Linked DNA regions of Caenorhabditis elegans. The protein of the gene in region 3 interacts with the protein of the main gene of each other region in a pairwise test. Each region holds a gene or a part of one and is shown on either strand. Other genes may lie near its edges.

What was found.
Region 1: the proteins of paic-1 (region 3) and fut-8 interact in a two-hybrid assay, tested with the Caenorhabditis elegans proteins (one large-scale study listed by BioGRID).
Region 2: the proteins of paic-1 (region 3) and nphp-1 interact in a two-hybrid assay, tested with the Caenorhabditis elegans proteins (one large-scale study listed by BioGRID).
Region 4: the proteins of paic-1 (region 3) and jip-1 interact in a two-hybrid assay, tested with the Caenorhabditis elegans proteins (one large-scale study listed by BioGRID).

What each region holds. Positions count from the first base shown.
Region 1 is NC_003283.11:5,985,795-5,993,195, forward strand, and holds fut-8 (Alpha-(1,6)-fucosyltransferase), read right to left. Parts: upstream 4,459-7,401; 5' UTR 4,437-4,458; coding exon 4,349-4,436; intron 4,278-4,348; coding exon 4,151-4,277; intron 3,652-4,150; coding exon 3,163-3,651; intron 3,112-3,162; coding exon 3,042-3,111; intron 2,978-3,041; coding exon 2,898-2,977; intron 2,810-2,897; coding exon 2,719-2,809; intron 2,671-2,718; coding exon 2,245-2,670; intron 1,853-2,244; coding exon 1,753-1,852; intron 1,700-1,752; coding exon 1,491-1,699; 3' UTR 1,277-1,490; downstream 1-1,276. Other genes in the region: C10F3.7 (DUF7808 domain-containing protein), read right to left, coding at 1-11, 63-168, 816-912, 958-1,054. UniProt on the Caenorhabditis elegans protein: Catalyzes the addition of fucose in alpha 1-6 linkage to the first GlcNAc residue, next to the peptide chains in N-glycans. The addition is prevented if the GlcNAc residue is already fucosylated.
Region 2 is NC_003280.10:10,647,254-10,655,138, forward strand, and holds nphp-1 (Nephrocystin-1-like protein), read right to left. Parts: upstream 5,004-7,885; 5' UTR 4,977-5,003; coding exon 4,908-4,976; intron 4,386-4,907; coding exon 4,287-4,385; intron 4,034-4,286; coding exon 3,891-4,033; intron 3,835-3,890; coding exon 3,306-3,834; intron 3,256-3,305; coding exon 3,025-3,255; intron 2,847-3,024; coding exon 2,347-2,846; intron 2,269-2,346; coding exon 2,156-2,268; intron 2,111-2,155; coding exon 1,875-2,110; intron 1,814-1,874; coding exon 1,685-1,813; 3' UTR 1,640-1,684; downstream 1-1,639. Other genes in the region: M28.10 (Flo11 domain-containing protein), read left to right, coding at 263-373, 434-559, 611-695, 840-1,270; lact-3 (Beta-lactamase-related domain-containing protein), read right to left, coding at 5,326-5,511, 6,247-6,384, 6,584-6,647, 7,351-7,436. UniProt on the Caenorhabditis elegans protein: Plays a role in the extension of dendrites from phasmid ciliated sensory neurons. May be necessary for initial assembly of the cilium.
Region 3 is NC_003280.10:4,368,405-4,375,873, reverse strand, and holds paic-1 (Phosphoribosylaminoimidazole-succinocarboxamide synthase), read left to right. Parts: upstream 1-3,348; 5' UTR 3,349-3,358; coding exon 3,359-3,454; intron 3,455-3,966; exon of another isoform or gene 3,967-4,036; intron 4,037-4,240; coding exon 4,241-4,729; intron 4,730-5,026; coding exon 5,027-5,203; intron 5,204-5,531; coding exon 5,532-5,816; intron 5,817-5,860; coding exon 5,861-6,061; intron 6,062-6,103; coding exon 6,104-6,127; 3' UTR 6,128-6,249; downstream 6,250-7,469. Other genes in the region: ntl-2.1 (NOT2/NOT3/NOT5 C-terminal domain-containing protein), read left to right, coding at 163-282, 526-645, 1,176-1,306, 1,380-1,506, 1,557-1,710, 1,772-1,987, 2,472-2,928; try-9 (Peptidase S1 domain-containing protein), read right to left, coding at 6,256-6,471, 6,563-6,690, 6,736-6,925, 7,079-7,384.
Region 4 is NC_003280.10:1,324,263-1,331,266, forward strand, and holds the start of jip-1 (PID domain-containing protein), read left to right. Parts: upstream 1-2,732; 5' UTR 2,733-2,738; coding exon 2,739-2,834; intron 2,835-3,574; coding exon 3,575-3,787; intron 3,788-4,404; coding exon 4,405-4,565; intron 4,566-5,151; coding exon 5,152-5,309; intron 5,310-6,061; coding exon 6,062-6,226; intron 6,227-6,789; coding exon 6,790-6,897; intron 6,898-6,980; coding exon 6,981-7,004.

The DNA.
Region 1 (7,401 bases), on a different chromosome or scaffold from region 3:
TTTTGAAGAACCTGTGAAGTATTTAGTTCGATCAAAAAATTGATGAAAAGGGAGGGACGTACCGAAAGATCAAAATTAACAGGACAGTTTAGTGGGCATGCCAATCGAGTTGTTGAGTTCACAGCTAATGTGTTCCAGTTGGTTTGTGGCATTGGTTCACGTCGGCATCTGGAAAACTTTTAGTAGGTTTGGAATTCACCACAGGGACAGAAAGTGCATTAATCTGAAAATAAAATTTTTCCCGGATTCCTGGATTTCGCATCGCATCGCATCGGCGGGTTTAATTTTAAAGTTTGACTATTTTATGCAAGGATCGGCTTTAATATATTCAAAAATTTTTGAAACGGTTTTGCAGCTGCTCAAAAATTTGAATTTGAGAAAATGGGACCATGACGAAAGAACAACAAGATTGGGTGGTAAAATTGAAATGCAAATTAGCAGAGTAGATATTGAATGTGAAGTTAAACTATGGAAAAATTTGTTAAGTTTTTCATTTACAGTCAAAGGTGGCAACTCAGTCTTCGCCAATCATAAATTAAAAAGCCGATTAAAAAATTAACTTTTTCATATAAAATTTGTATTTTAATTATGTTCAAGATATTTATATTTAAGCATTTGGTGCGAAAATGCGAAAAAAGTTTCAAAATTGCCAAATTTTCAAGAAAATTGAAAATTTGGCAATTTACCAAAACTTTTTATTTACTAAAGTAAGTAAGTAAGTAAATAAATTATCAAAACTTTGTTTTGATACATTTTTAATTAATTTGAAAATTTTTGTATTATTTTATTATCCTCCCACTTGAATTTAAACTCACTTAAATTTGGTGATGTCAAATGGAATTCTTGAGTTTGGTGCGAGAAGAACACAGTCATCTTTCTTTCCACTGCTCACACAATCAATTGTTCTTGGTTCTACAAAGCAATTATTTCAGATTTCTCTACCGTTCATATACTTACCCCATCGATTCCAAAGGAAATCGTCTGGTTTCTGTGTTTCCACTTGTTGTCCAACGACAACTGAAGAGCTAATAAGTAATACTAGAAGAAGTTTCATGATCTCTAAGATTCAGTCAATGGACACTCCTTTTATACTAATCAAAGTTTAGCCCAGTGTTTCTTTTGAAAACGGGTTTTTGTGTACATATTAGGCAGATTGTATATTAAGCAGACGACCCAAAAATTTCACTTTATCTAGAAAAACATCTCACCATTTATTATATATTCATAAATAGAAAGAAAGATCGTCTCACCCATTTCAACAATTTTCAAATTGTTTCTTTTAAAAAAATATTGCAAATTCAACAACAGAAAATACAACAATAAACGGATGTGGCTTAATATAATCACAGAAATTTGCCAATGAAAAACCGCAATGAATAACGATGGTGTCAATATAAACCCGATAAAAAGTACAAAAACTAGATTGATAAACATGAATAAAGAGCTAAAAGGGAAGTATACGGAAAATAAAAATAAAAATAAAATATATCCTAATCTAAAAGAGCTTCGAATTTAAATTTTCTCCAATCATTCACCACTTTATATGATGGGAATACTCCTTCCTTATACGTTTGTCGATTTGTTCCTTTAGAATATCCATTCCAATGATTTCCAGCAATTCCAACTTTATCACCAACTTTCAAATCGATTTCTTTATTGTTCTGAGCAATATGATCTTCGATAACAATTACTTCATGAGCTGAAATTATGAAAACTAAGATACTTTTGTTTCAGTAACTATTATATGCATACCTTGTTGACCTCCAAAATAGTATATATCGTCAAGTGAATGGAACTTTGATCCATCGTCAGCTCCTGATGGTTGTCGTAACTCGTAGCCCATTCGGCATACCTGAAAGTTTGTTTTGTGGACTTTTACATAGGATTAGTGAGAATCATCAAAACTCTGAGTTTGTCAAAAGTATATGAGTGTCTATTTGCTTTACTATGTACAATACTAGTGAACAAAACTTCCTGCTAATTATATGTAGCTACGAAACTGCCTGGCTCTTTTTGGGTGTATTTCCAATTTTTAAACCAGAATAACTCCGAGACTGACATAGTTAGAAAATATTACAACCTAACGAAATGTGGAGTTCAAATTATTTAACATTCTCCGTTTTATGGGTCCGGTTTTGATCAAAATTTGTACATGGACTATAACTTGAAAGCTGAACATTTTATTATAGTACACACTAATAACCCGTTTATCCAATTATTTTTTTCAGATAAAAAATTTCTCACCTGACTTGAAAAAGTGCAAACCAAATAATTGACTTTACTGAGTATATAAATATCAGTGATGACTCCCATCAATGAAGCATCTGTATATCGATTATTCAACTGAGCTGTCTTTGCAATTTCAGTGCTTCCATAAACTTCATAATTCGGATAGTCATTTTTGGCTTCTGGTACTACAGTTGGATCATCTGATGCAATGAAAATTCGCCTTTCCAATGGTTTTCCTTGTCGCTTTTCCTCAACTTTAAACCAAATTTCAGTCCATTCCATATATTCCTTCAATGCATGGAATGCTGCTTCCGTGCCAACTTTATCAGTTCTTCGGATCTGCAGTCCAACAATTGGTCCTTTATCAAGTGGAATTGACTTGAGAGCTTTATCGAGCTTCTCTTGAGTTGCAGAGTTAAAACGCATCAGGTAGGAAATGAACTGAAAATTGTTGAAAGTTTTAGATATAATATAAAAATATTAATCTACCGTTCCAACAAAGAATGCAGGTGGATGTGAGTGGAGTGATGTTAGACTTTCGAGAAGTTGTTCGGGTACTGCTTGGGGTAGGAATGTGGGTCTGTAACAAGGCGAATGTAACTTAAAAGTTTGCAAAGACATTATTGGTTTTGGTATTGGTATTTGTAGTTGTTCAAGTTCAAACTAACTTTGTGATCAGTGAGTCCACAATTCCGAGGGAAACCACTCTTGCTGGTGATGGCTCAGCAAACGGTTTAGCTTCCGTGTTCTGCAAGAAAAAATTTCATTTTTTGTTTGAAAATTTCCCAAGGGAGATTTCAAAACATACATACCCCAACTGCTTCATCAAATGAGCATTTTGAAAGTTTTTTAAAGACAGAAGTCCATCCATGAGATGAGTATCTGGAAATGGTTTAGCGTTGAAATTTTAGACACAAGGTGACAAGAGCTCACTTCCACGAAGATCCGTCTCTTTTCAAGACCATCATCCGTTGAGTAGCAAATGCGGTAATTGCACAATAGGTAACATGATGAAGTTGACACCCAAATCCACATTCCTTATCAAGATTGCACACCAGGGTTTTGGCTTCTGAGCATGCTTTTGGGTTTTGAAGTTTTTCAATTGATTTGAATATTCGTTGAGTTATTGCTGTTCTTTGTTTGAATCGTTCTTCTTCGGAACCCTCGAGTTTTTCAAGTTGAGCAGAAAGTCCCATTAGTGAGATCATTTGGGTTTCAAGGAGTATCTTTGTTGAGTTTTCAATTGTTTGACTATGTAAAAGATAGAACATTTCCCGAATTCTGTCGTCGAGCATTCTCTTTTGAACTTCTTGTTGGACAGGTCCAAGTATGCTTGGTTTTGAAATAATTTCTTTGACTGGTTCAGGTTTTGGAAGTGATGGGTTCTCAGGATTTGGTGGGAGTTGATGAGATTGTTCCATGCTGGAATTATATATATATATATATATATGCATTTTTCTGAAACTTTTTACTTTTTACTGAAAGCATTTTTAGAACATCTCAGACTTATTTCTTGAAAAAACTAGTTTTAAAATAGTTCCCTTTTTCGACTTTTCAGTTTTTAATTTTTTTTTCCAATCCATAACTGGAAAAATAAAATTTTTCACTTTTAGTTTGAATTGAACAATTTTTCACTTTTTAAGCATATCTATTCTTTCAAATGGGCTTCAATTTTCGTATTTCAAACTAGATTTTTTTGACGATGACAAATTTTGAGAAGCTCATTTAAGACTTCTAAGCTCCTAATAAAAATAGTACAGTCATATATACAAATCTCGAAGCAATTCTAAGAGAATTTCCTATCATTTTAGCGACAATCCTTTTTTTATTTCTTTGAAACGAAAGATTATTTTTGTTTTTAGTGTGACTTGACATCAGATTTTAATTCCAAGTAGTCAGAATTTCAAACATAAAAGCTCACATCTTTTTGTGTTGATCATTTCGTTCTTGTCTTTCTTTTTCCAGAATGCTCTTCAAATCCTCATTTTGCTCTTGAAGCTTGTCAATGGCTTCTTTTGTCTGCCTCCAGGCTCGAATTGAATCACCGCCTGAAACTAAAAATTCAGTACAGAATACAAATTTCACCGTATTTCCTCTATTAGTTTTTATTTGAACTAACCTGATTGATTATTTGATAATTGTGAATAAAGAAATAAAAACATAGTCATCCATACAACTGTTCCCACTGCCGCAATACATTTTAACATTTCGGAGCGGGCAGGGATGCTCCTGAAATTTTTTGTTTTAAAATAAAAGTAAACTTGTACTGTAAGAACTAACATATTATTAAGTCGAGTAAGGACCACAGGATAACAACAAAAGGAAACTGGGGAGGAATAACTTATGTGGCGTGTCGAATTGTGTGAGCGACAGACTGTGAGTTATTTTTTGGAATTAAGATTTTGAAAAATAATTGAGAAAGAAAGGCGGAGCAATCGAATTCAAGGACTTCCAAATTTTTTGTGAAGACTCGAAAAATGATGAAGAGTAGTGGGAAGAAGAGGAAGAAAAGTGGATTATGACACCTTGGACTCTTTCTCGTCAGTTTATGATATCCAATTTCAACGAGCTGTGAGGGGGTTTCACGTGTGATTAATAATTGATGAAGGACACACCTGTTGGAACTGGATTAAGAATTTAATTAAAAAGTGGAAAGCTTTTTGAGGTGCTTGTTGAGTTTGATAAGTTGTAAGAGAAGATGTAAAAAAATTCCAAAGAGGCTCCGCCTATATCTTGGTGTTTTTTAAGTTGAAGTTTTTTAAGTCTTTGAGTGAAAAATTCTGAAATTTCAGAAGTCTAAAATTTCTAAAAATTGCAAAAATATGTGCACATCGCTTTAGCAGAGTTGTTTCCATTTTTTTGATGTTATTAGTGCATCAAGGTCAGGTAAACTTTTTGGAGGGTTGTTTACCATATCTCATTACCAAAAAGCAACAAACATTTATTTTTTCGATTATAATCTAGAAGTATAATTTTTGTCAATTTGTGGGAATCTATAGGAACCACCGAACCTGGTGTGGAATTGCTGGGGTGTTGTCAACCTGGCAATATAATCTTGCAAAATACCTCCGAAATTTCAAAATTTTTGAGCAATGGTACATCAAAACTTTTTTGGTATTTTTTGAGCCAAACAGAAAATTGAAAACATCTAGTTTTTGATTAAGAACCACCATGGGATCCTTCTAAGGAGGTCATATTTGAAAAAAAAAACTTTGAAAATCAGAGAAACTCAGTATAAACACCTATTACTTCTTAGAGCATTTTAGGTTTTTCCTAGAAGGATTATTTTTGTTGGGAAGTTTTTTTTTTTTCAAATTTTGCAATAAAGTTTAATCTATATAAGAAAATGTCTAAAAAATCTGAAAAATTAATTTGAATGAATACTCGGACAGAAAGTAAACAAAGTGTGACGATTAAAAACAGTTGATGAAAATGAAAAGCAAACGGAAGACATGTGTTGAGTAGTTGTCCCCTAGACCCCCGCTTTGAATAAGTAATGAATGAAACCCGCTACGTTGGCTTCTCCCATCTCATCCCTCTTCTTCTATACACGCACACTCCACACTTTGCTCTCTTCTTCTTCTTCTTCTTGTTCAGTTTCTCTCGAAATCTGAATCGATAGAGTGTGACGGAGCACGAAGAGACGCAGACAATGTGGCTCTCAATATTTTTGGGAAAGAGAAAACGAGTCGGCGGTGAGGACCAGAGCATGACGAAAATTGACAGCGACTTTATGATACGTGGCGTGTGTGTGAAATGGGAAAATAGGAAGTGTGGCTCATTTTTCATCGTCATGTATGTATGCTAATCGAAATGTCGATGGAAACATTTATGAAAAGAGAGAAATAGAGGACACTGAACGTGGCAACAATAGGTATCATTTGCAAGAAGAGTACAAAACTTTATAGGTACTGATAAGGTTAATGTGCAATGAGCATTTGATGATTTGAAGGGCATATTAATATGCATCACAGTTTAGATCAAAGCAAATAAATATTTATGTTTCATGATTTATGAGAAGTTTTGAAATTGTACATATATGTAAATATGTACAATTAAAATGTTTTGTTTAAAAACTGAAAAATCATCAAATAGTTCTAGAACAATGAGTTGACATTGGAATTCTAAAAGCTATAATATTTCATAGATTTGAAAAGTAATGCTGTTTAAATAAATAAATTAAAAACCACAAAAAAAATAGTAATCAGTAAAAATTAACGAAAAGTTATTTTGAATTTTACTGGGAAAGAAATCTGAGAAAAATATATAATTTTTTCGTTTTGACTATTCCAAACCACGAATCGAAAAAAAATTAATAACATTCGTATCACCACTTTTTTTCAAAATCTGAAATTTTAGTTTCTACTTTATTTCTACTACGCGATTATTTTTGTTTTGAACTCTGGAAACTTATAATCCAATTTTTAAAACTTCCCTCTGATCGCTAAACATTTCTAAAGACTCCCACGGAGCTCAAAAGATAAAGAAGTTTGAGAAAGAGATTACTAAAGCTCTTTTAAAATTAATTTTTATTCGAATAAGTTTTTGATACTAAGCTTTCGGTAAGGCTTCATCGATACCAGATCGAAAAAAAAATGAAAAAAGATGGGAAAAGTGAGAAATTGGCATATTTAATATAAAGTGGTACTTGAAAGTGAAACCGAACATGGGAAAAGAAAAAAACTTGTGAAAAGGACACGGAAAAAAACAACAAAGAGTTTGGAGTTTCATTTTTGTTGTTTTTTAGTTATTTTTTTCAATTTTCTATCAAGAATTGAAGGAACAGCACAAAAATAATGCATGGTTGTGCGTCTGAAAACTAAACATATTGGAAAAGCGAAAAGCGATCACCAACAGTTTTTTTATTTTCTTTTGAGAGCAAGGCGACAGAAATGATAATACATAAAATACGATCGTTAAAAAAATACGACCTCTTGGAGAAAGTTGACAAGTTTCCTGACACATATATGTAGACAAATATAGAATTCTTATGAATTGAAAAGATTTAATTAGAAAAGTTGTTGACGGTGTTTTCTTTCTTTCTGGAAAAAAGGAAAGTATAGCAATTGATTGAGAAAGTATGAATTGAAAACATAGTCCAACGGAATTAGTGTCATAATTGGATGGTAATATGAATCAGAGATAGGCGGCGGATATGTTGCCAGATTGCTG
Region 2 (7,885 bases), 6.3 Mb from region 3:
GCTTCCATTTCCTTCCATTTCATTTCTTATCAGTGCCAAATTGAATGATTTATTATCTTAATGCGGCGATGGCTTGTAACCAACGCCCCGTTTTTACATTTTTCAACTACCATCGGTAGACCGAATTTATACAATTTTAAATTTAAATTGATTTTAAAACTGAATCTATTTTAGACTTTTCTGCCTACCAGGCAAATTTGCCTGAAGTTATGTAATGCCTTGATGTTTTGCCTTTTTCGTATATCGTTTTTGTTACCTTTAGATGACACGTCTCGTACTTCTCCTATTTGTTCCGGCACTGCTCGCCTTCGATTCATCATTCAATTACGGATGCCAAAATGGACAATGTACCTTCCAACTTGTGGTTCCCAAGGTGACACATTTTCAATACATTTTCACATAGTACTGAAATTCTCAAATTGAAATCGTTCAGGAAGTGGCTCAAGCTATCGATGAACAAACCCTGAACAATGAAGTTGCAACTATTGCTTCAAGTCTCTCAAAATTGGATTCCACAATTTTGAAATTTAATGACACCGGTGCATGTGCCTTCACAAAAGTAAATTTGTGCCAATTAAGCTTTTCTAGACTATTGAGCAATTGATTTCAGGGTTTTAATGCGAACTTCACAGTGGTCAATGCAACTGGTCAGAGCTTGAATGATAATGTTCAAGTTGCTAGTAATAATGCATCAGGTAAATAGGCAGGAAGTCTGTACTGTAGTTTAAAAGTTTTAAGTTAATGCATATATTTTTGGAGTTCGTAAATTTTTCTGACCAGGTGTGCTCTTAAATTCAATTCTCACATTTGAAATTTCCCGTATTCCATTTTATTTCCAGACCTACTTACCGCATCAGCAAACGCCAACACAACCGCCACATTGCTTTACAACTCAATTTCTTGCTTCCAACAAAATGTAAACTCCAGCTACACATGCTTCTCACCTCCAAGCACTATTGCTCCGTCTACCATTGCTCCATCCACAACTGCCAGCGATGTCTCCACTGTAAACCCTGTGACTGACAACGGAAGTACCGTGTCTCAAGGAACTCAGCCGACTGGTGGAAGTACTGCTGCTCCAGTGAGTACTGATGCACCAGGTTCTACTGTCTCTGGAGCAACCGATGCATCCGTTGCATCCACAGCTGGTGGAGATACTACTGCAAGTGGAGCTTCTGTGGTATCAACCGCTGCTTCTTCCGAGGCCTCTACCGCCGCACCTGAAGCTTCTTCCGCTGCCGCTACTGTAATCAGCGGCAAGCCAGTTTAGGAACTCTTAGATTTCTCAGAACCACATCCTGATCGTCAGCTCGCAGAATTTCATGATGTAATAAAACCCCTTAATGGAATAAATTCGATGAGGCTGTGATTCTGAAAAATCGCCCAATTTTATTCATTATTGCGAATAAACATATTTCATTTCAAATCCATTTTTTGAGAGGGTACAGTGTGAAAATTTACAACTGAAAAATGGCCATTGCTCAGTTTTACCACTCCTATGTTTGGGAGTCGACTCTAAATTATTCAAATATTAAACAAAAAAACCAAAAATTTCAAAACCAAAAATTTCAAAACTTGAAATTTACTGAAACAATGACTGAAACATTTCTATGCTTAGATGCTAGATGAGTAGAACTTATTACACAGTTAAATTTTTTATTGAGCTTAATTTTATCTCCATAAATTAGTCAATAGAATGATTGCCTAAAAGATCCAATGAATAATCGATAATATTGATTGGTTTGCATTGTTGATCTGCGATGAACTGCTTGAAAAGTCCCTTATTCAATGCATCCACAAATCGTTGCATAGTCTGAAATGTTACAATAATCGAAGCCTGATTTTGAAACGAGCTCCAAGAGCAGCAGCTCTACCTGTTGCCTAATCGAAAGAGTAAGATCATCTTTGACATCATACGAAATCATTCGAATCCCATGAATAAAAAACGCGGTGTGTAGAAAAGTTTGGAAGAACTCGGCAGTTTGTTCAGCTTCGTTTTTCTTGGCGAGCACTTTCTTTTTGGTTTTCCAAATTTTCAGCATTATATCCATAATGTCATGCTGGTCACAAACAAATGGGAATACAGAGAGAAGTGGGTCAGATATAAATTCTGAAATTAGTTCAAAATATTGTTTGGGTGGGTATGAAATCCTACCAGCACTCAATGGATTCCGATTGTCCCGAATTAAAATGGTTCCAGCTCGTCGGCGGTAAAAGTGGAAGAATGGTAAATAAAGAGCATTGAATACTATGACATCGGGGAGGGAGCTGGAAAAATAATTTGGGTTGAACTTAAAGTCAGGTCAGGGATCCAGATTTTCAGCTTTCTTAGTTTCCAAAACTCACTCCACATATGAAACCTTATCCTTGGGAACATCCATCACTTGAACCAGAACTCTTCTTTTCGAAGCTTCCGGCAACTTCATTTTTGTCATCACTTCATCATCCAAATACAAAACATTCGTTCTACTTGGCACTGCTTTATCATCAATTATCAGTCGCAGATATGTATGTCCCAAACTCTTTTCCTCAATTCCTATTTGTGTCTTCACCAAATGAGATGCTTCCACAACAAGTACCACTGTCGGAGATCGATAGTTTGAGCGGAGAACAAAATCAGAAAACTCGATGCAGCTTCTCGTCTGGCTCTCTTTTTTCTCAAAGTACCACGTTGAAGATTTGACACGTGGCACAAGAGTGTGCACGTTGCTCACAATTTGAGTGGATTTTGGATTTGTGATGTCGACAAGAGCCATTCTGACAAGTGCCTTGTGTTCGATTAGGGGCATCTTTTCAAATCGAACTAGACGGATAATTTTTGATATATGGACAGTTCGCTTGTAAACCTGCAAAAAATATAGTTGATTTATGAAAGTGAGCAAAAAATGTGTTGCTATGAGTAGCAAATGATTCATAGTAAAAATTTTTAAAGCAATTTTCTCAGCCGTTTTTAGGAAGACTCAGAGGTTTTTTGGCAAAACTGTAGCATTTTTTGGGTAGAAACTGCAAGTTTTAAACTTTTACCTGATCCTTGTAATGACTCCAAAAAAGATCATGAAATCCAATATTTGAAGTTGATAGTCTCGGAGCCATATGGCACACTAGTGACAAGTGAGTGTCATTGTCATATGCTTTACCAAGACAGTCATCAACTCGAGATGCCTGCCGGTTTGCTTCTCGTCTTGATGGATCAGTAGTCGTAGATATTCCGATCACCGAATCTCGAACTCCGAGGCGACTAGACACTTTTGATGGCTGAAAATTTCTACTTATTAAACTAACGATACTAGAGAAAAGTAACAAACCACATTCTTCGGCTTTTCCTTAACATGTTGTAAATAAGTCTTTGGCACAAGACCCCTCTGACCATATTCATCCAGTGCAGTCCACCAACCATCGGATCTTGTCTGTGTGATTCGATACTTCTTTCCTTTGATTAACTCCAAATCCCCTTCAGCTTCTGCATCCCAACTGTCAATTGCAACAAAAACATTGCCACGGACTACAACTGGTTCCATAACTTCTCCAGAATCTCCACGACTCGGATTCTGAAGCCTTGAGATGACTTCATCAAGTTCTTGACGTTCATTCAAAGTCTTTGATTCAAGAGGTTTTGTAATTGTGATAGGTTGTCTGGGTTTTGGTTGAGGTTGCTGGTGCTGTTGCTGTGGAGGCTGTGGCTGACTCGGAAGAGGATCATCCAGCTGAACATCCGTCTCAATAATTTCTGAATCATTATCAGAATCTTCTGATTCATCATCGTTATACATTGTGCTTTTTCGGCGGCCAATTGCAGCCATTTTCGGTTTTTCTTCTTCTGATTGAGAGTCCACACTGGAATTGAATATTTAACTATTTATTAGAGAAATTGAATTTAATTATAATTTTACCTGACAGAAAACGATAATTGCTCCTTTTCCGGGCTCAAAGCTGTCAATCTTTGCTTCAACTTGTCAAGTTGCTCTAGAGCGTTTTCTTTCTTGTAGGTCTCGTCAGTTTTGGCCTTTTCAATTCGATTTCGGTGATCGTCGAGCTGCAAACTGTATGCATATGTTGATATCCTTGAATGATACTTCTACGTAGGCACGAGAATGCCTACCTACCAGAGTGCCTACGGTCTACACATATGCCTAACAATTTTTCAATGTTTGTAAACAATTAATTGAAATTAAATAGAAAGTTGGTCGACCTAAAATCTATGAATCAAACCGGAGATCCCATAATGGGCGGTAGGTAGGCCCGTAGGCAGCCAGGCATAAGGCAGATAGAGAAAATGCAATTTTTACCTGTCTATGCAATTCCTGGCACTGTCTGACAAAATGTTTGCGAAAACTTGCTCTCGACGCGGCTTCGGTGTCTTTTTGCTCTTTTTCGAGGCGATTTATCTGAAAAAAAGGCTTTTGCTATTTTTCCTTGAAAATACGGTTTACGGTCTAGACACGACAATTTTTGTCGAATGCGAAAAGTTGTGTGCCTTTAAAGAGTACTGTAATTCCAAACTTTCGTTGCAGAGGAATTTTTTAGTTTTTTAATAGTTTTTAGATGAAAATATGTACATTAAATTTAAAAAAAATTCTGGAATTTTGAATTACAGTACTCTTTAAAGACGCACACCTTTCCGCATTTAACAAAAATCTGTTGTGACGAGACTCAGTTTTAATTATACGTTTGAAATTTAATTAAAACGTTGAAAATGCGCCCCACTGCAACTTTTTGGGTATTGAAGGGATTTTTTTAGTTGGAAATGAACAATAAACCACGAATTCAATTTTTAGTTATTTAATAATGTGTAATGGAAAAATTAAAAAATTCACAATAATAATTTTTAAATAAATTACAAAAAAATCCAAAAATTGAAAAAAATCGAATTCCTTTTCAAATTCGTGTTAACAATTAATATTCCCCACCTGATATTCAAACTGCGGAAATCGATTTATGGCATCCTGCAGACTTAGAATGCTTCCAAATATGGACATCCTGCTTTCCTCTCCCCCTGGAAAGCTCTTTTCCGCGCGGCCACTTGCCTTAAGCCACCCTCGTTGCCCCTGGCAACTTGCGGGTTACCACCTGCCAGCTCCCCGCAAATGTGGTTAAAAACTGGTGAACTGATGGTTTATTAGTAAGGAAATCGAGAGAGAGCAGATAAATATGCAATTTTGTGGGGTCACTCGGTCAGTTAATTACGGGGGAAGAAGCTTCAACATTGAGAGAACGACACTTGGAATGAATGAATTAAAAACGGACTGTACAAAGAACACGCGGGATGATTTGGGATATATCTTAAAACTATATGGAATCACTAATTAAAAAATGAAATAAAATAAATTATGATTGAATATTAATTTGTTCGATGACATCATATACAGAAGTCTGAAGTCCCCAGTACGTCCTGCACAAGTCGTAGAGTCCCGTTTTCAACCCATTTGTGACGTAGGCAATTGTCACTCGATTCTTGAGATCTGTGATGACCATTTGGCATCCGTGCCCGGTATGTCCGAAGCCGAATTGAGTCTGAAAATATGGCGAATTATGAAAGAAAAATATTAAAAAAATTCACTGAAAATTAAATAAAAAAACGCTCCTAACATTTTGCAGGTTCTTTAGCTAAATTTAGGGTTTTAAATATTTTTTCTATGCATTTTCATTTTTTGAATGAATTCGAAATTAATGGTTTTTCAACAATTTCTCCTGTTTTTTCGTTTTCTGTTCACCACCTGGGCTCTTTTTTTTTGGTCCTTTGCTAATTTTTTGGGGGTTTCAAAATTTTTTTTTTTTTGCTTTTTTCGGCAGTTGTAATTTTATTACAAAAATGGATTTTTCAGTCTTTTTTAATGCAAAAATTAATTTTTGGCTGTTTATGTTTTATGTTTATTTATTTAATTTATTTTTAATTTTGTTAATTTTTGTTATTTTTGTTAATTTTTGTTAATTTTTGTTAATTTATGTTTATTTAGCAAAAAGGTACTTTTCGGGTTTTTTTGAGAAAAATTGATTTTTTTGAATTTTTTATGGGAAAAAGGACAGTGGTTTTTTTTTTCGCAAAAATGGATTTTTTAAAAGTTTTTTTTGGCAAAAATTAAAAAATCTGCTTTATTGGATGAATTTTGACTTTTTCGTTCTTTAAGAGTTTTTTCAGACTTTTGTTGGTTTTTTTGGTTTTTTTATTGTGAAAATGGATTTTTTAAAATTTTTCAGTTCAAAATTTCCATCATCCCTCGTCCCTCTTTCGATTATTCAAAATCTCACCCCAGCTCTATGAATGGGCAAATGGAAAAATCCGTGTCCCTTGGCGACAGTATCATCAAAAATGAAATCACTCTCGTTGACGAACGGTTTGCTTATCGTGTTCAGTGTAGCCTGATTGAGAAGTTTTCCTCGATTTACCTGAAACAATCCTCTTAACTATCGTTTTTGTTTCAGTTTTTTTAAACAGTCACAAGGAAATTTCCTTTTTCTTTTTTTTTGTTCGACTTAAAAATTTCTTTTCTTCGCTATCAGCCTAGTTTCAGCTGATAACGATGTTCAAACAAAACGAAAAAAAACTTAAAATTCTCATAAATTTATCAAAAAAACGAGAACAAACCTTGTCAAAAAGTGAGGCAAGAGAACGAGCATTTCCCATTCCAAGTGCGGCAGCTTGCTCCAATCTGGAAAAAAAACATGAATTTTAAAAAATGAAATAGCATAAAATATTGGTCAGATGCGAGATTTTGTCTCAAAACTATGACAATAGGTCTCGAAGCGACTTTTAAGGAGTACGGCAGTTTCTGAATTCTCATTTTAAAACATTTCATTTATTTTTTTATACTTTCACATGCAACATCGTAAAAAATCCAAAAAGAAGCGAGGATTTGGAAACTACAGTAATCCTTAAATTTTGGCATTGGAGAAAATCGGCCGCTTCGAGACCTGGTAGTGTATTTTTTGGGGGAAAATAGCAAAGTTTCGGATCTGGGTAACAGAATTTTTTGCGTAAATATACAAAAATTTGCTCGAAACTACCGAATTTCATAATGCGACATTACACAAAAAAAGCCAAAACTTTTATGGAGTGTAAATATTTTAAAACTTCGAAAAAAGAACCGAATTTTGCTGAAATCTGAATTTTAGCCAATAGTTTTTAATGAAATATAGCGGAATTGAAAATGTTTCGTTTTTTTTTTTTTTTTTCCGTTTTTTCCGATTCGATTTTACGAAAAATATCTTAAAATGCTGGTTATTTGTATTTGTTTAAGAATAAATTTATATGTTTCCTCATGTATTTTCCATCAAATTTGACTTTTTTTAACGTGAATTTTATGATTAATTTTCTGAACACATTTTTTTCGATTTTCCGGGCAATTCTCGTACCGATGATAATCTGGATTATTGATCGTACATCTGGAGACTGCTTCAAGCCATGATGGATTTTTGACAATGTGTGAGAGTGGATGATCCTGAAAAATGACATGAATATATATTACGGGAGCACTAAATTCTGAGGCTGCGTACTGCATAACATATTTGACGCGCAAAATACCTCGTAGCGAAAACTATCTTAAAAAGACTACTGTAGCGATTTTTGAAAGTTTTTTTTTGTTGTAATTTTTGTGTTGTATTGCAATATTTTATCGATTTACCAATAATTTATGAAGAAATAAATCAACTACAGTAGTAATTCAAAAAGTTACTGTAGTTTTCGCTACGAGATATTTTGTGCGTCAGATATAAATAGTGTTCCTGTATATTTTTTATAATTACTTTTCCGCATTTGAAACTATTTTCTATTTAAATAAACAACAAAAGTTCATTCTATAGAATATATTTCCATGTTTCGTGTCTTCAATTCCCAAATCATATGATTGGTACATGATAAGCGGTGCTGCAGTATACCGGTACTAGAACA
Region 3 (7,469 bases):
TTTTGTCGAAAAAAACCGTGAATATCAAAGTGTGTTCGTGGCGAGACCCATCCGAATAAATCCATGCGGAAAATCGATTAATTCGAATTATCGATCGCATGAAAATAATTTTAAATTCAGAAAGAAAACTTTAAATTAAAATTAACCAAAGCCTATTTTCAGTCGGTGGAGTAGCTACCGAACGACGATTGCCTCAAACGCAGCAATTTCTTTCGCATTCCAACTTTCACTCCAACGCAACAATTATTGACGAGTCCCAGTTTCCATCACTGGGCGCGAAAGGTAAATTCACTGATTTTTTTTTATTAGCTTGAGAATATTCTTAAATCTATGAAAAACTCACTGTCGAACTCTCATTCTTATTGTTAAATGGAAAAAAATTAAAATTAAAATATTAAATTTGACCTGCTTGTGTGGAAGTCCACGGAAATGTTTTCCTTGAATCTTTCATCCTTTTTATCAATATTTAAAAAAAATTAGAACAATTATTTCATTTCTCAAGGCATTTCATCGATTTCTATTCAGGAACGTCCTCACTCGGCGGCGGCGGATTCTCCCCAATCCCAACAACGAGCGGAGGTGTTTTGAACGTTGCCCAGTCATCGCCGTCGAGAGATCTTTACGGCGCACAAAGACCCAATTATGGTAAATTTTACTTTTTTCTCTTTCTGTGTGATGAAAAGCATGAAGTATCAAAAATTAAAAAAAAAAGTACGATAGCTGGTTGTGAACCGCGAATATATATTTTTTTTTAAATCAATTTTTGTTTGCTCTTTGAAAATGCGCGCGCGCGAAATTCTGATTGAACATTTTAAAAATTACAATGCGTGTTTCATTCTGTTTTGAACGCAATTGTGCAATTTTTCGATGTTGGCAACTTCTTTCCGTGAGTTTTTAGGCAAAACGCAAATTTTCTGATAAAATTTACTCATTTTTACTGCAAAATTCCGATGAATTCGAGAAAAAACCGCCGAATTCTTTTGGAAAATTTTATTTTTTATTTAAGAAAAATCAATATTGAATGTGTGCAAAAGTCCGTGACGGTGGTTGCGTATTCCATGATCGACCGTACCCCGCAGAGATTTTTCGTTCAGAATTTCCATAAAAATTCTCCGAATTTTCGCAGTTTTTGTCGTGTTCCTGTGTTGTTAAACCATGCAAAAATTAATTTTCAGCTAACCTGATGAGATCGGACCCCAGTCTAACAAATCCCGAGTTCCAAATACAGAACGAGGATTTTCCCGCGCTTCCCGGCGTCGGTTCTGGTCAAACACAGCGATCAATGCTTGGAGATCAACTGGCTAACGTACTTAAATTTAATTTAATGTCAACAAAATTTCTGCGTCGATGACAATCAAATAATCGATAAATTATTGCAGATGTTAGCAGACGACCATCAAGTCGACTTTGCTGGACCCCTAGGCGATTGTGACCCCTCGCGGCTCAGCGGGATATCAAGAAATAGTCAAGAAGGACCTATGCATGGGATTATTACTCATCCTGATGGTGGGAATACTTTAAAAATAAGCATTTAAAATAATAATTGTTAATTTCAGGCGAAGTGACAAACATTCCAGCGTCAATGCTTGACGATCAGTTTGGGATGGCGGGTTTGGTGACATATCTTCGGACAGTTGACAATCCTTCCATTGTTTCACTGGCGTTAGGTTATGATCTTACGACGTTGGGCTTGAATTTGAATTTGTCAGAGTGAGTAGTGGCCTGAAAAGCCCGAAAAGCCCAGAAAAACTCTAATTTCCCTCTGTTTCAGACGAAAATTGTACATGAACTTTGGTGGTCCGTGGGCCGATTCGCCGATTCGAGCACACGAGCTCGACGTGAAGGTGCCCGAGGAGTACATGACGCATAATCATATTCGAGACAAACTTCCACCGCTGCGATTGAATAAAGTTTCAGAAGACGTGTTATTCTATCTTTTTTACAACTGTCCAAACGAGATTTATCAGGTGGCGGCGGCGTGCGAATTGTAAGTAAAGTTTATTCCAAAAACCTGCATCGACCATGACCGCGAGCGGAGCGTCGTGTTTAAAAAATTTATTTTAGTTTTTTTTTTTCCCCGAGAATTTGTGATTTTCATGAATTTACATATGAAACGCATAAAAAATTGGCCAAAATGATAGAAAATCACTCGTTCTGGGCGAAAAACTTTCAAGAAAATCCGCTTTTTCGTTAAGATCGCATAATTGTTCATCATTTTAGTTGATTCTTATTTCGCCTCATATATAAATTTATGAAAAATCATGTGAATCACGCGTTCTTAGCGAAAAGTTAAAATAAAAATTATTGAGCCGCTCCGTTTGCAGTTACGTCGCGGTCGAAGTTCACGAATCAAATTATTAATAATTTTAAAATTTTAGCTAGAAAATTGAAAAAAACATATATTTTATGTTAGCAATTGAGAAAATCTTTTTTATCACGAAACAATCATTATATTTTCAAATTTTTTGCAGGTACGCTCGCGAATGGCGATTTCACAAAAGCGAACAGGTGTGGTTGACGCGTTCTCAGTACGGTGGAGTGAAAGAACAGACGGGAAATTATGAAAAAGGGCATTACAACGTGTTCGATCAGATGCAATGGCGAAAAATTCCGAAAGAGTTAAAGTTGGAGTACAAAGAGCTCGAGGATCGGCCGAAAATGCCGCAATCAGTTTCCGGACAACCGACACCCTACAAATACTTTTTCCAAGGACCACAATTTCCGAGCGGTCCGGAGACGGGTCTGATGCTTCAGATGCATAACTTGACGCTCGGCACAGGTGGCGGCGGTGGCGGACAAATCACTCCACCGGCACCAGCGGGTCTTAACGGAGTTATGGGTGGTGGTGGTGTTGGAGCAGCTGGAATCGGAGGAATCAATGTGCAACCGGGAGCCGTTCCATCGGCGGCGCGAGCTACTCCAAACTAAACAAGAAGAAGATGATCTCTCGTGTGCAAATTTTCTATATCCCACTTTCGTCATCTTGTTCTCGAATTGCTCCCTTTCTCTCTCATTTTCCATCTCTTTTTCCCCTCTTTCTCTCCACATTTTCTCTCCCAATCTCCCATTTTTTTCCTTCGTTTTCCTTATTTTTCCTCTTTTCTCTACGTTTTCGTATAAACGATTATCGATATACACAAGTTGCTCTTTGAAAACCTGTGATTTTTCAAAGAAAGAGCTTCACAATGACTGGCGGCGGCGGTTTTCTCTGTATTTTCAGTGGCGCAACACCGAACTGATAAGACGGGGAAAAAGGCTGAAAACAAGATGTTTGTCGATGACAAACTCGCCTACAAGGGGGTTCTGATATCGTTCCGTGATAGCAACACAGTTTCATTCGATACTATTATTGTTTGTCATGTCGTCGTTGGCTGAAATCGCGTCGAGACCCGAAAACTTGGAGCTTCTTGCTGAAGGAAAAACCAAGCAAATCTTTGATATTAAAGGAGAAAAGGTTGGTTTTTTTCACTGAAAATTCAAAAAATTTGGGAAAACATTAATTTTCTACTAATTTTTTAATGCTTTATAGATTAAAATTTAGATATTTTAAAAGCGCCTTTTGAAATCGTGATGCAAACGCGCTCCGCGAGTAATCTGACAAGCTCCGCCCCAAAACGTTGGGTCTCGTTGGGAACGTGAATTTTTGACGATCTCACCCAATTTTTTTTGCATTTTTCAACATAAAAATCGTTAAAAACAACGAGAAATGATTGGAAAGTGCTGGAATCGGCAAAAAAGTAGGATTATACGGTTTTACCGCCAATACCTAACGAGACCCGGTTTTCAGTTATCCGTGGCGCGCTTTTGCAGCCCAAGTCACATTTTTATGCGTCTACATAATATTCAGAAAAGCGTGTCCTAGAAACACGAAAACTCGGCCAACCGAATTATCAGAAGAGATTTTTCAGAAGTATGCTCAAAATAATCTTTGAAAGAAATGTTCGGTTTTCACTGTCGGTGAGTGGCCGAGGTTTCACGTTTTCTAGGCCACGCCGCAAATAGCCAGCTTGTGGCCTAGGAAATGAGAAAACTCGGCCACTCTTTCAGCACATTTTTCAAATACACGTACGGAAAATTTCCTGTAAAAACGGTGTCTGAGCTTTCACGGAGCCTAGAAAAAACTCGGTCAATTTCGTAAATTTGAAATCTATTTGAATTTTTCCGTTTGGATTGCGATAATAATGTGCTTTTCAACAAAATTGAATCCAACTTTTTCAATTTCTGAACAAAATCTTTTCAGGATTATGTGCTCATTCGTTCCAAAGATAGCTTGACCGCATTCAACGCTGTCCGTAAAAATGAGCTTGAAGGAAAGTCTAGAATCGCAAGTAAAACCACATCAAACGTGTTTGAATATCTTCAACTTCTCGGTCTACCAACACACTTTGAAAAAAGCATCTCTGAAACTGAATTTGTCGCCCGTAAATGCACCATGATTCCGATTGAATGGGTGGCACGACGTGTTGCGACAGGATCCTTCTTGAAGAGAAATCCTGGAGTTAAAGAGGGTTTCAGATTTAATGATCTGAAATTGGAGACATTTTTCAAAGACGACGCTAATGATGATCCACAATGGACTGATGAACAAATTGTGTCGAATGGTTTGATGATTGATCATTTGAAAATTGGAAGAGAAGAGATTTCATTGATGAAGAAGATGACAAAGTTGGTGTTTAGAGCATTGGAGAAAGGATGGGCTCTTTCAAATAGTGCTCTGATTGATATGAAGGTGAGGGTGTTGCAAAGTTTTTATTATTCTCTTTTTTTTTATCGGTCTCAACTTTAAAAAGTAAACATAATAAAAAGTATGTAAGTTTAATGTTCGGTCTGCAATATATTCGTTTTGTAAATATTTACATTTTGAAAGGAAATCAGCACCATTTAAAACTGGGTGTTTTCTGTAACGTGTCGATTTACGCAGCTTGAGTACTTCACGAGGAGAAGTGTGTTTTTCTTTTCGCTGAATTTTACAATTGTCGGTTGTTGTAATTTTGAAATAATTTTGAAGAAAACCTGAAAATTCCAGATCGAATTCGGAGTCACAGTTGAAGGAGAAATTCTCCTGGCCGACGTGATTGACAATGACTCGTGGAGAGTTTGGCCTGAAAATGATAGACGTCTGCAGTTGGATAAGCAAGTTTACAGGGATATGAAGGAAGTGACAGAAGAGGGGTTGGCTCTCGTTTTGAAGAATTATACAAAGGTTAGTAGGCCGAAGCTTAGGCCTAAGCATATGCCTATGCCTGAGCCTAAACCAAAGACTAAGCCTAATCCTAAGTTTTAGCCTAAGCCCATGTCTAAGCATAAGCCTAAGCCTAAGCCTAAACCTAAATTCAATCATCCTATATATCAATTGTTAGATTTTTACGCGAATCAAACCTTTCGTGTAAGCACAATAACTTGCCTGCCTGCAAGGCGATCTGCACCTGATTTCTGCCAATATGCATACCTACAATTTTCGGTAGACACGTTGAGTAGGTAGGCAGGCACATAGACACGAAGGCGTATCTACCTACCAATAACATTTCCAGGTTATGGATATCACTGCCACCTTCTCAAAACACCAGCAAAAATGCCATGTTCTTGTGATCATGGGATCTGGTTCGGATGGCGTATTCGCACGGAAAATCTCTGATGAAGCCAAGAAATTTGGACTGGAAACTACGCTGAAAGTAAGCTCAGCTCATAAAACTACCTCGGACACTCTGGAAGTTATCGCTGATTTCGAAGAAAGTGGAGTTCCGACAGTTGTGATTGCAGTAGCTGGAAGATCCAATGGACTCGGTCCAGTTATTGCTGGAAACTCGTCTCTTCCGGTAGGACTTGAAAGATCAGATGATCTTTATTTCAAAGAATTCAGGTGATCAACTGCCCGCCACCAAGTGAATCAACGAGTCTTGACATTTGGTCATCACTCCGAATGCCGAATGGAATCGGGTGTACTACAGTGTTGGACCCATCGGAGGCCGCGCTTGCCGCCGCAAAAATCCTCGCGTCTCACAATCATATTGTGTTTGGAAAAGTGCTCACTGCACAGCTCAAGAATCAAATCAACATTTACGTAAGTGATAGAGATGTGAATTTCTAATTTTTGAACTTTCAGAACGCCAATCGCAAACTTGAATAGATGCAGGACTGAATTGAAATCAGATTTTTCAAAAACTTTCTTGTGTAAATTAACTAATTACTCAACGTTCACTTTTATTTCAGCATTCTTATATTAAAAACGAAATGAAATGTTTGAATCTTAAACTTTCAACTGCACATTCCACAGCACGTGCAGAAGAAATCCACGTGTGCCGAGACATCCACGAGAAGATCAGTCTCTTGAGTCAGCTGTCTCCGTTGCTGACGTTGACGATTATGGGTATCGTAGAGTTCTGGACAAGGCATTCCGGCTGACAAAACACCTACGAGAACTTGAACATTTCGAGTGTCCGATGTTCGGACAACTCCCGAGCCACTGTCACCCTGGAATCAGTGGAAACTATTAGGCATCTTGGGCAAGTAGGCATTGTTCTGCCTACTTCTGAAGAAACACTTTTAAACTTTAAAAACAAACATCACAAGACAATCCTCTATTCACTGCCGACGTACAATACACCCCGCCATATGGGAAATCGTCGGAGCACTCCGCAACAAACGAGTATAGCGATTTCAACTTTCCAGACTCCAAAACACTATCCGAAGCTGGAATTAAAAATTTCAAAAGATCACATAAAAATCGGAACTTACGATCTCTTCCATAACCAAAAAGCTTATATCCGGTTTCTCTGATCCTCGGGATCTTTGGAGCAGATGGAAGACAGGCTGGGAATATGTCTTTTGAGAATTCGATGGGTTCTTCCAATTCGAACACGGCGATGTCGTTGAATGATTCTCGATCAATGCAACCATCTCCGACATAGCCTTTTCGGATGTAGAGCTGTAAAGAAAATATGTGTTTAGTAAGACTAAGTGAGCCTACGTCTAAGCCTAAGCCTAAGCCTAGGTTTGCGTCTAAGACTAGGCCTACGCCTTAGCCTAAGAAAAAACCAAAGCCTACGCCTAAGCCTAATTGTAAGGGTAATCTACTCACCGACTTTATCGCCAGTGGCTTGAACATATCCTTCCTATGCAATCCCTTACACATCTCTGGAACCGCACATGTCACATTAACGAATGCCACGAAATTCTTATAGTCTCTCACGAAATACGCTTCTCTGAGATTTCCAGTATCACAGTCAGGCAGAGGATCCTCACTGATTCCGATCAAATGAGCAGCTGTTACAATATGCCATGGAGAGACTAATGTTCCGGTTCCATGCTGAACAAATTCATTTTCCGAAAACTTATTTCCGCCGTTTCTAAAAGATCCCGAGCCATCAGAAATTCGCTTCTTCATAGCCAATGAGACCGCCCATGGGGCTTCACCAATTTTCACTTCTTTACCGTACAATGCCTTGTATTCCTCAGAAGTTCTGCGATGA
Region 4 (7,004 bases), 3.0 Mb from region 3:
CTTCTTCTCTTGTCTGACCTAATTTGATCTACCGGGATATCGGAGTGTCGTAGTGCTGCCACGTCATTTTTTTCTGTGTCTCCTTAAATACATACTAATTTTCAATTCTAGAGAATAGGAAATTTATGTAGACTATTAATATTAATGTTTAAATAAATTTATGAGGAGGGTTTTGTGTTTTGGGTCTGCTAGGCTACAAACTACGAAAATTTGTTTAGCAGACCCATTTTTTTTCGATTTTTCGATTTTTTTTTTACTTAAAACTACACTTTGTCTCGTTTTTTAGCGATAATTAAAAAGTTCTGACTCAATTTTCAAATTTCCGGGGTACTGTAGCGCCACAAGTACGCAAACACCGAGCATCTTACGACAAAATGCACAGAAACTTAAAATTGTCTGAAAAAGATGGACCAGGGGGTAAAAAAAGGCCCTGAGTTTGAATTTCATAATGAAAAATTGCTAAAATTCATAGAATTCAAGTCATTTTTTAGTTTCTAGTTATCAATTTTAAAAAGTATACGTTTTTTCTAAAATTCCGCTGTAAACTACAAACTACATTTTGCCACGTCATCGTTTTATGCCCCATATCCACGTATTCATTAGAAATTCTGTAATTCCTGAATTCATTTTGGCATGCATTCTATCTATAAAAAAGAAGATCGAGAAGAAGAAGAAAATGAAAAAATTCGGCGTCTTCATGTGCTCCTTAATCTATTCCAACATTTTTTTTTTGGTCTGCCAGACTACAAACTACAGATTTAGAACTAGCAGACCTAAGCTTCTTGCTCAAATTTGAAAATTTCCGAAAAAAATTGCAATTGTTTTTCCAAATTTCCCGTTTTTCGAGAATTTGAACAATTTTTCCCGCGTTTTCTGCACAATTTTGACGTTTTTGGGTTACTGTAGCGCCAAAAGTACGCAAACACCGAGTCTCTCACGCGAAAATGCACAGAATCTCAAAATCATCGGAAAAAACAGTCCCAGGGGTGAAATGAGGCGCTGAACTTGAATTTGACAGTTAAAATTATCAAAAAATACCTGAAAACATTGAAAATTCAATTTTTTTAGTTTTTTCTTTCAAAATTTCTTTTTCGGAAGATATATTCGCCTGGAAATAAATTATAGGGCTATATATTAAATTTCTAACATTTTTCTTATGTTTCCTGCTCAAATTTGTCTTTTGGGGGGTACTGTAGCCCCAAAAGTCCGCAAACACCGCACACCTTACGCGAAAATGCACAGAATCTCAAAATCCTCTGAAAAAAGTGTTCTAGGGGTGAAATGAGGTGCTGAGATCGAATTTCAATGTGAAAAATTATGAAAATCGTTGGATTTTGAGAAATTTTTTTGGTTTTTCGAAAAAAACCTGCACCTCCCCACCCCCCCCCCCCCCCCTCTTTCAGGGGGTACCCCTTAATCTATTCCCACTCATTACTACATCTTTTTTTTGCTCTCATTTTCTCTGCGTCTCTCACTTTCACATACTATCTCGTCGGGAGATTAGTGTGAAGAAGACGCTACCCTCAGAGAGCAGGAAATGCGCGGAATTTATTGGAAAATGTGTGTGCTCTCTCGATGAGGGAAATGGAGTGAAGAAAGGGGGGGGAGGAAATTGAGATAACATGTCAAAACTCGTGATATGATATAGCCAATAACATTGGTGAAAATTATAAGCCAGAAAAAAACATCGCAAAAAAAAATTTTTTTTAGCAATTTTTCCCGAAAATCTTTATTTATTCAATTTTCATCAATTTTTCATGCTAAAATTCGAACTCAGCACCTAATTTTACCCCTAATCCATCCTTTTCCGACAACTTTCGGTTTCTGTGCATTCTGTCGTAAGGTCCGGTGTTTGCGTACTTTTGGGGTTACCGTACCCCCGAAAAGTTGAGTTTTTGGCAAAATGTTTTTTTCTCGAAAATCTTTATTTTATCAAGATTTTTCCTGATTTTCATGTTAAAATTCAAACTCAGCACCTTATTTTATCCATACCACACCTGTTTCCGACATTTTTGAGATTCTGTGTTACCGTACCCCGCAAGACTTAAAAATTGAGCTAGAGACTCGGAAACAAGACTTTGGCTGGAAAATTTGACAAAAAATTCGTAGGGAACTTCAATTTTGATTTAAAAAAGTTTTTTTGGAATTTCGGGAAAAAAAAATTTTAGAAAATTTTTTTTCCAAACTTATTTTCTTTATTTTTCATTTTTCACTTTCTCAATTTTTCATCTAAAAATTCAAATTCAGGTCTTGATTTTACCCCTACCACGTCTTTTCCGGCAATTTTGAGTTTCTGTGCATTTTGTCGCAAGGTCCGGTGTTCGCGTACTTTTGAACCTACAGTACCCCCGCAATACTCGAAAATTGATCTAGAAACTCGGTAAAAAAGGCTTCGGCTGTAAAATTTGACGAAAAAATTGTTGAGAAGTTAAATTTTGGAAAAAAAAATTATTTTTGGAATTTCGGTGAAAAAAAATTTTTTTTTGGAATTTTTCAAGAACAAAAGTTTTGAAAATTTTCTGAATATTTTTTCCATGATCCCCTTTTTTGAGTTGTTTTTCAACGCAATTTTCTCTGCACTCTCTTCACTCTCTCATCCACTCCATTCATCATTTTTTCCAGCGCGCATGTCTGGAACAGAGATTCACTTTTATTTTTCCTTTTTTCTTTTTTTTTTTTTGCTCCAAAACTTCTTTTCCACTACTTGAAATTTTAAGTCTTAAAAATTTCAGCACAAAATGAGCGCATTTGAATGTCGAAAATGCGATGATTTTCCGATTGAGGAGAACACGGAGGACGAGGATGATGACGAGTGTCCGACGGTTATTCGGAGGGTAGGTTTTTTCAGGAAAACCGTTGATTTTTAAAGGTTTTAACTATAAAAATCAAATTCAGCAGCGTTTTTTTGCTCCTAAACCGGTTTTTTTGCAAAAAGCAACAAAAAAATTAAAAATTTTTTTTTTTTCAAAACTCGAAATTTTTCTCGAAAACCAGCAACTTTTAAAAATTTTCATATCAAAATTCAAATTCAGCGCCACTTTCTACCCCATTCCCAGCTTTTTCAGCCAATTTTAATTTTCTGTGCATTTTGTCGTAAGGTATGGTGCATCGATTTGTGTTTGCGTACTTTTGAGGCTACAGTAATTCCAAAAAACTTAAAATTGAGCCAGAAGTTTAGAGAAAAACTTATTAAGGGTGAAAAATTACGGAGAATCCGAATTTCTTAATAAAAATTGTGAAAAATTTCAAATTTCTACAAATTTTCCAGTAAAAAATTTTCTCGGCAAAAAAACGCAACTCATTTTTGGAATTTTTCACACCGAATTTCATTTTCAACACAATTTTTTACCCCTCAAACACCATTTTAAGTCAATTTCAAAGCATTCTGCATTTTGTCGTAAGGTGCAGTGTTTGCGTACTTCTGGAGCTACAGTAACCCAAAAAATTTCAAAAATGAGCTAGAAGCTCGAAAAAAAAAAGTTTCCAGGGTAAAAAATGTCGGGAACTCGATTTTCATATCGAAAAACCAAAAAGAAGCCTCTAAAACCTCCAAATTTCCTGAATTTTTTTCCAGTCCTACTCAGCCGACTGGCTGCACAACGACAATTCCTCTGGAGGTGATGACGATTCAGAAGAGGATTCTGACGCCGAATTTCTGGTTCATCCGTGTCTTCGGAGTATTATTAAATCGAAATCCGCTTACGCAGTTCCCCGTAACTCTGATGACGTTGCAGCGGCGGCAGCGATGAAAAATAACAGAATTAAGCCGAGCAAAACAAGCTTTGAGGTGAGCTGGATGAGGAGGTGGTGGTGAAGATGTAGTTTGTAGTCTTTGTAGTTTTTGTAGTTTGTAGTTTATAGTTTGTAGTCCGTCAGACCAATGTTTTTTAGTTTAAAATTGATTGAGTCTGCCATTTGCAGGTTCATAGTTTTGTGTGGTTAGATCTGTTATTTCGAAGTTGGTAATTTATAGTTTGTAGTTTATGGTTTGTAGTTTATAATTCGTAGTTTGTAGTTTGTAGTTTGTAGTCTGTAGTGTATAGTCCATCAGGCCAAAATTTGCAAGTTTAAAATTGATTGAGTCTGTCATATGTAGGTTAATAGTTTTGTTTGGCTAGATCTGCTATTTTGAAGTCAGAGATTTATAGTTGTAGTTTGTAGTTTGTAGTTTGTAGTTTGTAGTTTGTAGTTTCTAGTTTGTAGTTTGTAGTTTATAGTTTGTAGTTTATAACTTGTAGTTTGTAGTTTGTAGTTTGTAGTTTATAGTTTGTAGTCCGTCAGACCAATATTTGCCAGTTTCAAAATGATTTGATCTGCCAAATTTAAATTTTTTGTATATATTTTACAATTTATAGTTTATAGTTTGTAGTTTGTAGTCTAGCAGACCAGAACACCATTTTTCAGATTTCCTTATCAAAAATGATGGAATCAACGAGTAAAAGCATAGCGGAAGAAGCAGAATACTCAGTAGCCGACCTACTTCCGACACTTGATGAAAAATGGCCGGACCCTGAGGAAGAAAATGAAAATTTGAAGTCAAAGCGGCGGAAATCCAATATTATGAGGTGAAAATTCGAATTCTCCATCGTTTTTCACATGTTACCCGTTTTTTCTGGGTCTCTATCGTTAATTTTGAGACTTTTGGGGTACGGTAGCCCCAAAAGTCCGCAAACACCGTGAGCGTGACGCAAAAATGCACAGAAAAACTCCGATTTTGCTGAAAAAGTAGAGATATGGGTAGAAAATCATGCTGATATTGAGTTTTGGCATGAAAATTGTTGAAAAATCATTTTTATATCGCAAAAAAGGAACATTTTCCCTGTTAATCCAAATTTTCCCCCTTTGAAACATAAAAATTCGAATTCCTCACCATTTTTCACTTCTAGAATACTTTTTTTTGGAGTCCTAGCGTAAAATTTGAAAATTTGAGGTTACTGTAGCTTGAAAAGTGCGCAAACACCCAGCATCTTACGACAAATTGCAGAAAATCTTAAAATCGGCTGAAAAGGCGGGTTTAGGGGTAAAAAATGACGCTGAGCGTGAATTTTGATATGAAAAATGTTGAAAATATCTAGATTTTGTGAAAATTTGGAAAATTTGGTTCAGTATTGGTCTGCCAAAGTCCAGCATACTCTAAACTCAAATTTCCAGGTACTCCCCGAGCCTATGTGACTCTGATCTATCACTGAACCTCCATGATAAGGATTCTGAAGATGATGAGGATCGTATTCTAAACCGCCCGTCCGGATGTTGGTCCTCGCCGCCCAACTTCTTCGATGAAACATTTCGCGGTGTTTCTCCAATGAATCGTTAGTTTGTTTACTGTAGTTTGTAGTCTAGGCTTTACTATAAACTACAAAAATTGGTTGTGAAAAAATGTTTTGAAATATCAAAAAAAAAAAAGAAAAAAAATCGAATTTTTTCCCAAAAATTTCAAACGAAATCAAATTTTGACGTTAAAATTCAGATTCCTCGCATTTTTTCACCCTAGACCCATTTTTCCTGGTGTTTCCTGCTAAATTTTGATCATTTTGGGGTACTGTAGCCCCAATAGTACGCAAGTACGCAAACACCGAGCCCCTCACGCGAAAATGCACAGTTTTCTGGAATTGCGTAAAAAAGTTGGGGTAGGGGTGAAAAATGGTGCTGGAAACGAATTTAATAGTGAAAATGTTTTAAAATCGGCAGAAAATATAAAAATTTGAAGAAAATTTTAAAAGTTGTTTTTCAAAAAAAATTTTATCCAATTGTTTTGCACAAAATCAAATTATTAAGTGAAAATTCAGATTCCTCGAATTTTTTCACTCTAGCACCATTTTCCCCCGTGTTCTCTGCTCAATTTTGACCATTTTGGGTTACTGTAGCTCGAAAAGTACGCAAACACCGAGCCCCTCACGAGAAAATGCACAGTTTTCTACAATTGCGTAAAAAAGTTGGGGTAAGAGTAAAAAATGGCGCTGAAAACGAATTTTATAGTGAAAATGCTCGAAAATCAGCGGAAAATCCAGAAATTTTGAATTTTTTGAAATAAAAAAGTTTGAAGTTAAAAAAAAATTTCCAGAAAAGTGTTGGTCAGCACCGGATCTCGAGGATATTGTGTTCAAGACATGCAATGTGTTGTATAATTATGACGTCATCGGCGGCGGGAAAATTCCAATTTTGAGGGAGCTAATCGACGAGGACTCCATTGCAATTGGGTATCCAGTTATAGAAACACCTGATAATGGTATGTAGTTTGTAGTTTGTAGTTTGTAGTCTGCTAGATTACAAACTACAAATAAAATTTGAGTTCATGGCACATGTCCCCTTAGTTTTCTGGAAAACTTATTTGGGAAATTTTGAAATTTTGAAAATTAAAATTTTTTCCAAAAATTTGAATTTGCAGCCGACCGCATGGTGCAACTGCGCTCCACGGATAATTTTGCAATTTTTCGAATTTTCTGAAGGATTTTAAAGCTGTTTCACTGACAAATTCAAATTTTCCGCCAACCAGATCAATAAATAAGCAGTTTTCTCATTAGAGCACACTTGCAGCACGCGGTCGGCGGGAAATTTGAGTTTTCGGGTAAAAAAACGTGGTTTTTGCGAATTTTTGCACTAAATAAAAAAGCGAAAAATTTAATTCAATAAATTTTGTCAAAAGTCCCAAAAAAAATTCAAAAATTTTTTTTTTTTTTTTTCCAAATTTCAATTTTTTTTTGAAAAAACCTTCCAAACGACACTCCGACATTCCGTTTTCTACAACTTTCCCAAAAAATCCCTAATTTCTGCACACCATCCTTATTTCAGACCCTTCAGTTTGCTCGTACCGTCTACCATCATCGCTCGGCTCCGCCCCCTCACCCAGTCCGCCCCGCCCACTTTCACCAGTATTCGGACAACCTGCACCCCCACAGTGTACCTAATTTTTTTTTTGAAAAATTGGAAAAAAATTGAAATTTTTTTTCCAAAATTTTTTTTTAATTTTAAAATTTTTTCAGACAGAATGCACGTGTCCCAGTCAA